2 linked regions of the Bombyx mori genome follow. The protein of the gene in region 2 binds, or shares a complex with, the protein of the main gene of each other region. Links are inferred from orthologs where the notes say so. Each region holds a gene or a part of one and is shown on either strand. Other genes may lie near its edges.

Region 1 (5,217 bases), on a different chromosome or scaffold from region 2:
AGAAACAGTCACATTGCTCCTGTGCATTAACTATTACCATAAGCAATGAAATTTACCTTACGATCAGGTAGACTGTGAGTACCTTCAAATAAGTCAATAAGATGTAAAAAGCCCAACTCATTTCTGCATACTTATGCTTCTGTTTGGATTAAGGGAAGGCCATTATGCAACCTACATTTACCATTTAACAGCAAGTAGACCGTAAGATCGTTCACCCTTACATACAGAAAAAAAACATCAGCCAACCAATTACATATTTTCATTATTAAACTTTATTTGAGAATCACATGTTCATTGATTTAAAAATCCAATGATGTATCTGCAACAAAAATAATAATTATAAAGAGTTCTTTAGACAAGTTCCATTTAAACACATTTAACATTTACTCTGGTTATTATTTCAGTTTAGACATTAACAACCTTTCGCTCCGAAACAAAGGTATTGAGCGAAAGGTATTGAGAAAAATACTAGGACCAGTTCGGAAAGAAGACGGTTCTTGGCACGTCCGGAAAAATAAGGATGTGGAGAGGCTTTTTGGTGAGCGAAATATTCTGGGGGAGATGAAGGCACGGAGGCTCGGATGGTTCGGACATGTAGTACGTATGGAGCAGGATCGGGCTGTGAAACGGGTGTACCGGAGGGACGCCGCCCCGTAGGGAGGCCCAAGTACCGCTGGTGTGACAGCGCCAGTGGTGATAGCGCCAGCTCAGTAGTAGTAGTAGACATAAACAAGATAACAAAAACTAAAATAGTCTTACTGGCATCACTGCGTTTTCTCATAGCTTCAGTTTTCTCCAAAGCGAATACAAGTTCTTGGAAAATTTTAACAGCCGCTTTCATATTAGTTTCATGTTGGTTATTTTCGGCGACACTATCATCTAATAAACTGTATATTGTTGGTATTTCATCGATCTTCAAATTCTTTGCATTTGCTGACTTGAAAACAACAGACACTTTTCCAGTTTTCGGATGTATACTGAATGGAGACTTGAGCAAGTGATTGAAACCTTTTGTCACATTAACATCTAATCTGGGGTAGCAATATTGAATTTTTATTTCTTCTATAAGATATTTTATTTTTCGTATAACATTTCCATTCTACAAATTGAAAAACATGACAAAATAGAGTCATACATATATATGCATATTTTTTAGGACACAACTTCTAATATGTAGGTTAATCTTGAACTGTATCCTTGGAAAAAAATTTAAGCAGTTTAAAAAACAAATGCCAACGACTTTTCAATGAATTTCTAATTTTTAATGAAGTACCAAATTTTTCTTTATGTCAAAATTTTATTATTTTTTTACCTCTCTGCAATAATTTTCATAAATATTTATAAAAGTGTTCCACTTATTCAATGATGGTTCCTGCATTTTTTTCAAAGTTGTTTCAACCTGTGATTTTAACGCATCATCTGGTATCAACTTCAAAAATGAGTTTAGCTTATCTGTTGCTAAAAATTCCTGATCTTGTAATAATTGTTCAAAGTATTTGTCTATTATATTTAAGGCACGCCTGGAACAAGTATTTAAATATACTATTTTTAATTTATTTATTACTTACACTTCATGTATTTTATATATTAGTAAACTTAATGCCTAACTCATTCTCCTTACGAAAATGAATATCAGATCGAACATGAAACGTGTAAATATACAAGGGAATGCGTAACTTCCTCAAGGGAGTGTTATATAAGTTATGTGTAGTATAAAATTATAAAGTGTAAAAGTTTATTAGTGAAAATGATAAGGACAGCGGTATTAAAATTATAAGTTTGGGGGTGATGTCTTACTGTATACACTTGTAAAGTATATAAAGGTATGTATATAAAAGGGACTTTGTGTCAAATCTAGTCCTGATCTTGATATGTGACATTATATCAAGGTAACATTCTAAGCATTCTAAATTCTGATTAGCATGACCAATGTAAATTATTTTCACATGTAACCAATAATAATACAGTGTTACATCATAATCACTTTTCCCTTAGCCTTAGTAATGATTTTTACTGGTCAAAACTCTGGTAATGTGCTCCAGCAGCTTATGAAAGAAAATAATAGTATTTTCTTATTAATCTTCTTTGGATGGGTAGATCGACTCATAAAAGTAATTTTTAATTTTGCGAGAAGTAATTAACAAAATTATTATCAACAAAATTATGATCATCTATCATTTTCAAAAAATATTTATGTAAATCTCATGTAAGAATATCAAATTAAAAAAAAATGATATAACCTTATACTGGAATGTAAGTTTTCATTGCCAAGATGCACTTTTTTACTTTGGTTTTCACCACCTACGATTAAACAAAGGTAATCGGCAATAGCTCCTCGACCTGGACTATCGAGAGTTCTGGCTTCATAATCTGATACCCAACAGTGAATACCACGCCGACCTGAAAATACCCACAGGATGCTTTGGAACCCGAAGTCATCTGAAATTAGTAAGTCAAGGATGTGAATTTGAATTCAATCAATCATTTTGTCAATTATAAGAATCATGAATCACTTGTATCATGAAAATAATACTATAGATGTGGATAATTGAAGTCAAAATCCATTCACTAGTGGAAATATATAAGTAACTAACTACTACAGTGTAAATATGTTTTGGTTTTCTTTTTTTTTTCTATTGGCCCACAAACATCCTCTGCTGGACATATGGTTTTGTAGTTTTTTTTCGCCACCCCAAGTATGCATGAGATAGGTTACATTTTAATGAGTGTGGTGTGGTAAATAAATATAGAAATATAGAAGAATCTTTAATGGTCTGTAGCTCAGTAAAGTAAATCATGTATTTACCTTTTAAAGCTTTATCAATGATTTCACATGCAATAACCATAAATTTCCAGCATTTTTCACACACTCTAGCTTCTTGACAACATGTTCTTATTTCATCATAGTCTGTTAAATCTATATCGAATACTAGTTCTCGCGATATCACTACAGCGTCATGTCTTCCTACAGAAGGCCTTAAATAACGGAAGAATACCAAGTGACAATAAAAGAGTGTAATATTGCTTTTTAAATGCTAATAAATGAAATTTACTTTATTAAATATTCAAGCATGATATTTTAACTTCATACAAACTTTTAGACATAAAACATACTTTGTGTTGTAAACTGCTCCAACATCCAATTTGTGTGGACATTTCTTTTGAAGAAGGGTTTGTAAATCCTTTTGATGCGAAATCGACAAATAACGGAGGTAGACATCGTCAGCTAAAGTAAATGATAATTCTCTGTTACAGAGCGGTTGAGGCGAACTACCGCATGCTAGCCATCTACAGAATATATTTTGCGGAAATTGCCTGGCATAGTAAGTGGGTAGCATATCAGATAGAATGTTTTCATTGTGTTCGCCAATCTGTACAATTAAATTGATATTAATCAGAAGTTTAGTTTTTTATTTAGATCAGTTTGAATTTGAACTTACCATTTTTACCAAAACAACAACTCCTATAATGACATTTTTTTTAGGGATTTCATGACCTGATAACTAATACCTTTAAGTCATGTCTTATTTTAATTTATATTCTTATTTTTATGAAAAATGATAACCAATATGGAGTGAAATGAAATGAAATGAAGATGATTAATTTGAGACATTAATCAACTGGGATGAAATTAAATGAAATGAGATGAGATGATATCTCTCTATCTATAATCTCAGTCATTTTACTGAGATTATATTTCATTCCATACCATCTCATCTCATTTCATTTAATTTCATCCCAGTTGATTAATGTCTCAAATTAATCATCTTCATTTCATTTCACTCCTTAATATCATTTTTCATAAACATAAGAATATAAATTAAAATAAGACATGACTTAAAAGTCTTAGTTACCAAGTCATTAAATCCTTTAATAAAAACTAATTAGGAATCCGAGACCGAAAATTTGTAGAATCGATTAAATGAGTCGTCTATTAACAAAGGCGGCAATCTGTACATTTGGACAAAAAATTTTTATTGATATGTCAATACAGATTTATTTGAATATAATCGTCTCTTTCAAAGAATACGGTTCAAAACCTGCATTAAATAAAGGTTAATAGTTAACCTGTTATTTATCTAAGATGTCGTTCCGAAGAGTTTTGTGACTGCCAATGGAATACAAAGTCAATAATTCGTTTTTCTGATTTACCAATCATTGTCCAAAAGTCAGATTGCCGCCTTTGATAATAGTCGACTCAAATGTAAAAAAAATTTTTTAACCTACCCGTAAACATTTTTCAACTACCTACCCTAAATTTTATTCAGCTTTGTGTGTGAATTGAATCTTGATTTAGTTATTGATGTCAAAACTGCTGAAATTCTGACTACTAAAACAATATGGAAATTAATAAAGACACCGCTTTTTTAATAGTAGTAAAAATGTCATTTCGTAAGTAGGAACATTAAAAAATAACCGTAAACCCTAATTTAATAAGTAATGGATCTTTTAAAATACTTTTCACATGTGTTTGTGGTTTAAACCACCAACAGTATTTACTTTAATTTACGAAAATAATTATTCGTCTATATTTTCAGGTTCACTGCACAATTCGTATTGCAAGACTTCGGAAAAATTTCTTAATGCATCAAAGGTATTGATCGAATCGTTGCTAAGAAAGCCATTGGCAATGACTTTAATAGCAGCCTGGTTATTAAATTTACTGCTTATATCTACGTTTTTTTCTGTAACTGTTATTTTGATGACCTCAACTATATTTCTAGTAATTGTATTTTTAGAAGGTAAGTTACTATACTACTAATATTAGATACTGAATATTAAAGAATTAAAAAAAAAAATATTAAAATTTCAGACAAGGCTGTAATACTATTTAGAAAACTCTATAGCCTGCCTTAGAAAGATAGCCACATCATAAATATCACACATTGTCTCAAGACGAAAGTCATTGACCGGTGTGTGACATATTGCATTATGTCGTAATCGCTCTCAATGGACATTATCAGAAAGCTCAATGTCACCCAAAGAGCAGTGGCGATGGTGATGCTCGGAGTTTTCCGACAACATTATATCAGGAATGAGGGGAAACAAGGTGGACTGACAACTTTGAGATTCGCTGGAATCCACTGGATGTAGGTAGCACAAAACTGGTCGTTGTGGCGAGGTTTGGGAAGGCCTATGTCCAGCAGTGGACGTTTGTAACCTGAAAAATATTCAGCGGCTTATTAACGGGGTACAATATCCGGTTCGAGTCGGTAT
Region 2 (5,353 bases):
CGAGTCACACATATTTATAGCAATAAAAAACTTACATATTCTCTTGGCAACAGGAATATCTGCCTATTAACATTCTTCACAACAAGGCAGCATGATACACATCCAGCCTTCTTTTTTGATGGGTCAACATAAACTTTTCCAAATAGGTATATAACGCCTGGTTTTACAAACCGATCTTCCCATGCATCAAGCCAGTAAAATCTAAGCACTTTCTCCCCTGTTTCATTGGTTTGCAGTGGTAATTGACCATCACTTTGAACTGAAGACACAGTTTGGTTGTCACCTCCTTGTTCTGGCCATGTACTAGTCAATGGTTTCAGTTCTTTCGTAGTTTCTTTCTTTGGTAAAGGGAATATTTCAAATTCGTCATTGAAAAATTCATCAGTGATGTCTGTTGTAGGATTTTCGGTGATAGTTCCGGTGCTGACAGGCTCGTTTTTCACTTGGGACGTTTTTGCATCATTGCTGAAGTCATCGTCAAAGTCAATATCTTGTGTTTCAAATTCTTCTATATTAGGAGTAAGCGTTTCATTAAGTTCTTGCTTGATTTCTTTTTCAATGTTCCATTCTGGTTTCTTGATTTTCTTATTTGCAGGTTCATTTACCACATGATTTATCTGTGAGGTTAAAATAATATATTTGTTAATATTTGTAGGCTGTGGCTGTTACACTTTATTTAAACAAAAACAAACTTTACATGTAATAAATTATAGAATAGAGTTAATAGAATGATTGTTGTCTCCATGTTATTATCGAAGGTTTTATGGAATTACTAAGGAGTTGTTTCTTCTATAGCACTGGATATCATCTGGCTCTCTCTCACCCTCCATGCTAACCGGATTGCTATGATGTTCTATTTTAAACAAGGTTCGAAAAGTGTCCACAGGAGATTGGCTATGTGTAGCTCTGGTATTGCTGATGTCTACAAGGGGCAGAAACCACTAATCATTAGGTAGGTAATCTGTCATCATCAATAATATCAAGGATATTTAAAATACAATTAAAAAATATTTAACTTTACCATATTTACCATATTTTTTTCACACTGTACTGCAGATGTGTCTGGCTCAATACTTTCAGTCTGAAATAATAACAAGTTTTAGCTTGCTGTTGCAAATTATTTTAGTAATGTAACATCTGTTTTGTGTAGAGAGAACGATTTTCAATGGGTACATTCTGCATAAATACATTTCGTTATATATTTTCGACGACCTTTTAATGCGAAGTTTACTTTTCAAATTGTGTTACATGAATAAATTACTATTCAGTATCAGCTACTACAACATTTATACTTTTATAAATAATTATCCAATCAGGTTACAGGAAAAGCACAGAAGACTTAAATTTAGAACCAATACGTAACTAATTTAGGTATCGTCAAAACGCTATTTCGACAAAGCGGCGGGATATGATAATTCTCTTATTCTGGTCACTGCTAATTACATACTTTTTACATATCTTTGACATTTTTTGCTCTTCAAGCACCGGACCTAGTCGAACTCGTCGATAACGACAACCGAATTAACCAGTGACACAGCTGGCTGAGTTTCTTGCTAGATCTTCTCAATAGGTCGTGATTCTGATCTAGTGGTGAATTCTGCCAAGAACTGCTCGCGCTAAGGCTAGTGTTGGCAAATTCTCCAAGTATTTGGAATAGCCCCTTAGACTAACAGTTAATAACTCGATACAAATGAAAAAATGATACATGCCTCCTTTTCTTCCTTGAATGTTTTTAGTACAGAAGGTTTCTTGACGTTAGCAGAAAGACTTTTGAAGTAGTTTTGTGCATCTCTCTTACTTGTATCCACAATGTTAGTTTTAGTTATAGGCAGTGTAGATTTTACTACATTTGATGCAGTGTTAGCATCCAAATCAGATATAATATCAGATAAAATATTATCTTCTGAAATCTTTACATCCTGAAAGAAAGAAAAACAACATATTAAATTACTAATAAAAAATTAAGTTAGGATTCAAACATTACCAAGTTGCCAATTATTTGATAATATGTGCAATTAAACAGGGAATTTAGTTTAGAGAAGTAGTCAAAGTTGCTCAAGTACCAAATTAAATTAACCCTGTTTTTACTAGGATTACAGGTTATAAAAATATTTTTTTTTATTAATCTTTATTTCAGAAATATAAGGTTGGATCTATATTATGCAAAAAATTATTAAGTTTTTGCACTTTTCTCTTGGAATCTAGACTATAATTATATTTGTCATAGTCTGTAACTCTATAGAAGACTATAGTTTTTATATTTTTCCTAAAATTATCAGAAGGATGTCCCCGATACATAAGAACTAATTAGTACTTAAAATATCCTATCTAAAACATTATAATCATAGATATCAATGGATTGCATTCTTAAATATAAATTAAATAAATGAAATATAACAAACCTCTTTTTTCTTACTAGGCATGTTACCAATTAAGTTTCGTATATTCCCTTTTCCTGAGGACTGTGCTGCAACTTTGGCCTTCCTTTTCTGTCCTCTGCCTGTATCTTTACTATTTGTTGCTTCATAAGCATCATCATCATCATCAAATATCTCCCTTCCATCTTCAACATAGCCAGTACCATCTAAAAAGTTTGTTACATTAGTTGAATCTTCTAATACATATTTTTCACTCGTTAAGTATAGCCAGTATTGAAAACAAACATTACTGTGTCACTAATGCACATTTAATTTACAGAATGGATGTTTTCTCACTTGAAAATTTCAATTCGGTTTGTAGTCACTTTAAACATTTAATAAATAAGGATTTTGAAAATTTATATGTGAAACTTTTTTGAAAAGTCTAGTTAATATTATTAGTTGAAACTAAAAATTATGTACTGATTTGTAATATGGATTTACCATCTTCTATCCAATCGTCTTCTTGTCGCTGTAGAACTCTTTCTGTGTATTCTTTCTCGTCAACAGTGTCGTACACATTCTCAAGCACATCCACATCGTACTTATGCTTTACACCTTTCCCTTTTAATTGTTTTAGCTTCTCAAACGCCGAGAATCGACCGTGTCGGTCTGTTTTTTGTCGCTTCGCACGCTGAGCAGCTACAAACAGTAAATACATTTTGTTAAATGTTCAAGGAGTTTCGAAACTAAATGCATCCTAGATACAGACTTAAGTATTGCAGTACCTATTGAATCGGCCATTCTCTTTTAATAGCTTTTCTTTTGTACACATATATAAGTTTAAAACAATTTACATTTACAAGAAACACTAATATTTTGATTAGGTTAAATTCTTTTTAGATATTTTGGCGCGTATCCACTTTGAAAGCCTTCAGCTGTGATTGACATTTGATATTTGTATTCCGTTTTGCAACAGAAAGGGCGAGGATATCATACTATACAGTCGAATCTCTTTTCTAAATTAATTAATTAAAGTCTTCATGTTCTACTAAAGGATAAGGTATATGGTGTGAAATTTGCATGTCGTAGATTTCGTTTTTGCCCTTTTTTAGAAGACTTTTAATATGCGAGTTGTTCCCTTTACCTATCCATTTAGAAATAAAAATCTTCTTAGTTTCACAAATTTCGCGCCAATTTGTAACTGTCAAAAAACATTTGTTGTGATGCTTGTGATCGGTGCTGGTGATACATTTGTGATTAGTATTTGAAGACAGCAATTATTCGAATAACATATTTCTAACATAATGGCAATGCGTGATTACACTGCAGATAAAGGTACTTGAAGAAGATCGAGCATATTACCAAAATTATGAACGATTAAATAATTTCAATAAACCTTTACAGAATCTTTCAAGAACTTTTTCGTTGATTTTTGTCAAACTGATGATGAAGGAAAAAAGTATTTTAAATATGCTGAACAACTTACTAAAGTTGCACACAGAGAACAGGTAAGATTGTTCGGTTCATAATAATAATAAAAATACAATGCTATGTTGAGGTTAGGGTAGTTGTAGTTTCTAGTTCTTTGAATGATATAATAATATAATTTCACTTATTTTATTGCTGGGACAATTTTTCCAGTTTTACTATAAGGTATAATTGTTATCTTATTGTAAACTATCGCAGGATCAAGATAATGATTATTAGCAGATAATGAAGATTAGTTTATTTATGTGTATACAGTTATTAGGATAACAGAAAGTTAGGATTAAAAAAAATTATAGCTTGTTGTATGAATTATACTTTAAATTACCGAAATTTTTATGTAACTGAAATCAAACTAAACTAAACCTCAATACACATCATGACTGCCTGCTTAGGGCACACAGGAAGCAAGAAGACGTTAATAACAAAAACTAATTTTTTATTATAGATAGCATTTGAAGTTGACTTGGATGATTTACATGAGATGAATGAAGATTTGACTGAGGCAGTCAAACAAAATACCAGAAGATACACTAATATGGTGTCAGACGTGGTTTATGAAATGCTGCCTGATTACAAATTCAAAGAGGTAAGCATTGATATAATTATGCAAAGCTTAAAGATTGTAGCAAAAATGGGAAAAAGCAATTATACTAACAATAACAGAAAGCATTTATGTGCAAATTGCTGCGTAAATGTACATAATGTATGTGACCTTATAATTTCATTCATTGTATAAAATGAATAGAATATTTTTCATTACGTGTGTTGCACATTACAGTTGTGTTACACAAATATAAATAAAATGAATTATCAAATAAAATTTTATATAAAATTGTTTTCACATGCAATGTTTGTTTCGTTAAAGCTAATGCTTAATTATTCTAACCACTGGACATTGCAACACAAAAAACGGTTCTGCTATTGTAGTCTTTCCTGAGCTATTAGTGTTTGAATGTTATATCACAGTATAATATAACTCAAAATTAAAAAAACAAATTATATAACAATATCAGGTAGTAGCAAAGGATTCCTTGGATGTATACATTGAGCACAGAATTATGTTGGAAGCCAGAAACCACAGGATTCCTGGAGAAATGAGGGATCCTAGGAACAGATACCCACCAGAGCTCATCAGGAGATTGTAAGTTGTTTTTATATTAAGTTCTGAGAATTTTTAACTGTAAATAAACAAGTATACTGGTAATACATTTAGGTTTGTCTAACTTATGAGAGATTTTTTCTTAAGAATTGATCCTTTATATTCCTTTATATGAGTTAGATTGAGGTTTGGATTGTATAAAAAATACATTTAAAACTTTTATTTACCTAATTTGATTTGTCATCCCACTCACTCATATTAAATAGAAGAATAGATTTTAATTTAAAGTCAAATTAAATTGCCATATTATGAAATAACAATTTGTAAAATAAGTATTTCTTTATTTTAGTGAAGTGTACTTCAAAGACTTGTCAACATCGAAAAGTGTACCTATCAGAGAAGTTAA

Evidence for each region.
Region 1: DNA polymerase alpha catalytic subunit (region 2) and DNA primase small subunit share a complex: the UniProt entries of both Drosophila melanogaster proteins name them as parts of the alpha DNA polymerase complex. The link is inferred for Bombyx mori from reciprocal best matches to the Drosophila melanogaster genes PolA1 and Prim1.

What each region holds. Positions count from the first base shown.
Region 1 is NC_085116.1:10,063,470-10,068,686, reverse strand, and holds DNA primase small subunit, read right to left. Parts: upstream 3,598-5,217; 5' UTR 3,444-3,597; coding exon 3,441-3,443; intron 3,373-3,440; exon of another isoform or gene 3,372-3,372; coding exon 3,115-3,371; intron 2,977-3,114; coding exon 2,807-2,976; intron 2,440-2,806; coding exon 2,241-2,439; intron 1,521-2,240; coding exon 1,313-1,520; intron 1,100-1,312; coding exon 413-1,099; 3' UTR 320-412; coding exon of another isoform or gene 300-319; 3' UTR 250-299; downstream 1-249. Other genes in the region: uncharacterized protein LOC101739672, read left to right, coding at 4,341-4,392, 4,539-4,742. UniProt on the Drosophila melanogaster protein: Catalytic subunit of the DNA primase complex and component of the DNA polymerase alpha complex (also known as the alpha DNA polymerase-primase complex) which play an essential role in the initiation of DNA synthesis.
Region 2 is NC_085121.1:13,176,263-13,181,615, reverse strand, and holds the start of DNA polymerase alpha catalytic subunit, read right to left. Parts: upstream 3,340-5,353; 5' UTR 3,162-3,339; coding exon 3,146-3,161; intron 3,060-3,145; coding exon 2,862-3,059; intron 2,585-2,861; coding exon 2,403-2,584; intron 1,920-2,402; coding exon 1,710-1,919; intron 1,082-1,709; coding exon 1,022-1,081; intron 618-1,021; coding exon 36-617; intron 1-35. UniProt on the Drosophila melanogaster protein: Catalytic subunit of the DNA polymerase alpha complex (also known as the alpha DNA polymerase-primase complex) which plays an essential role in the initiation of DNA synthesis.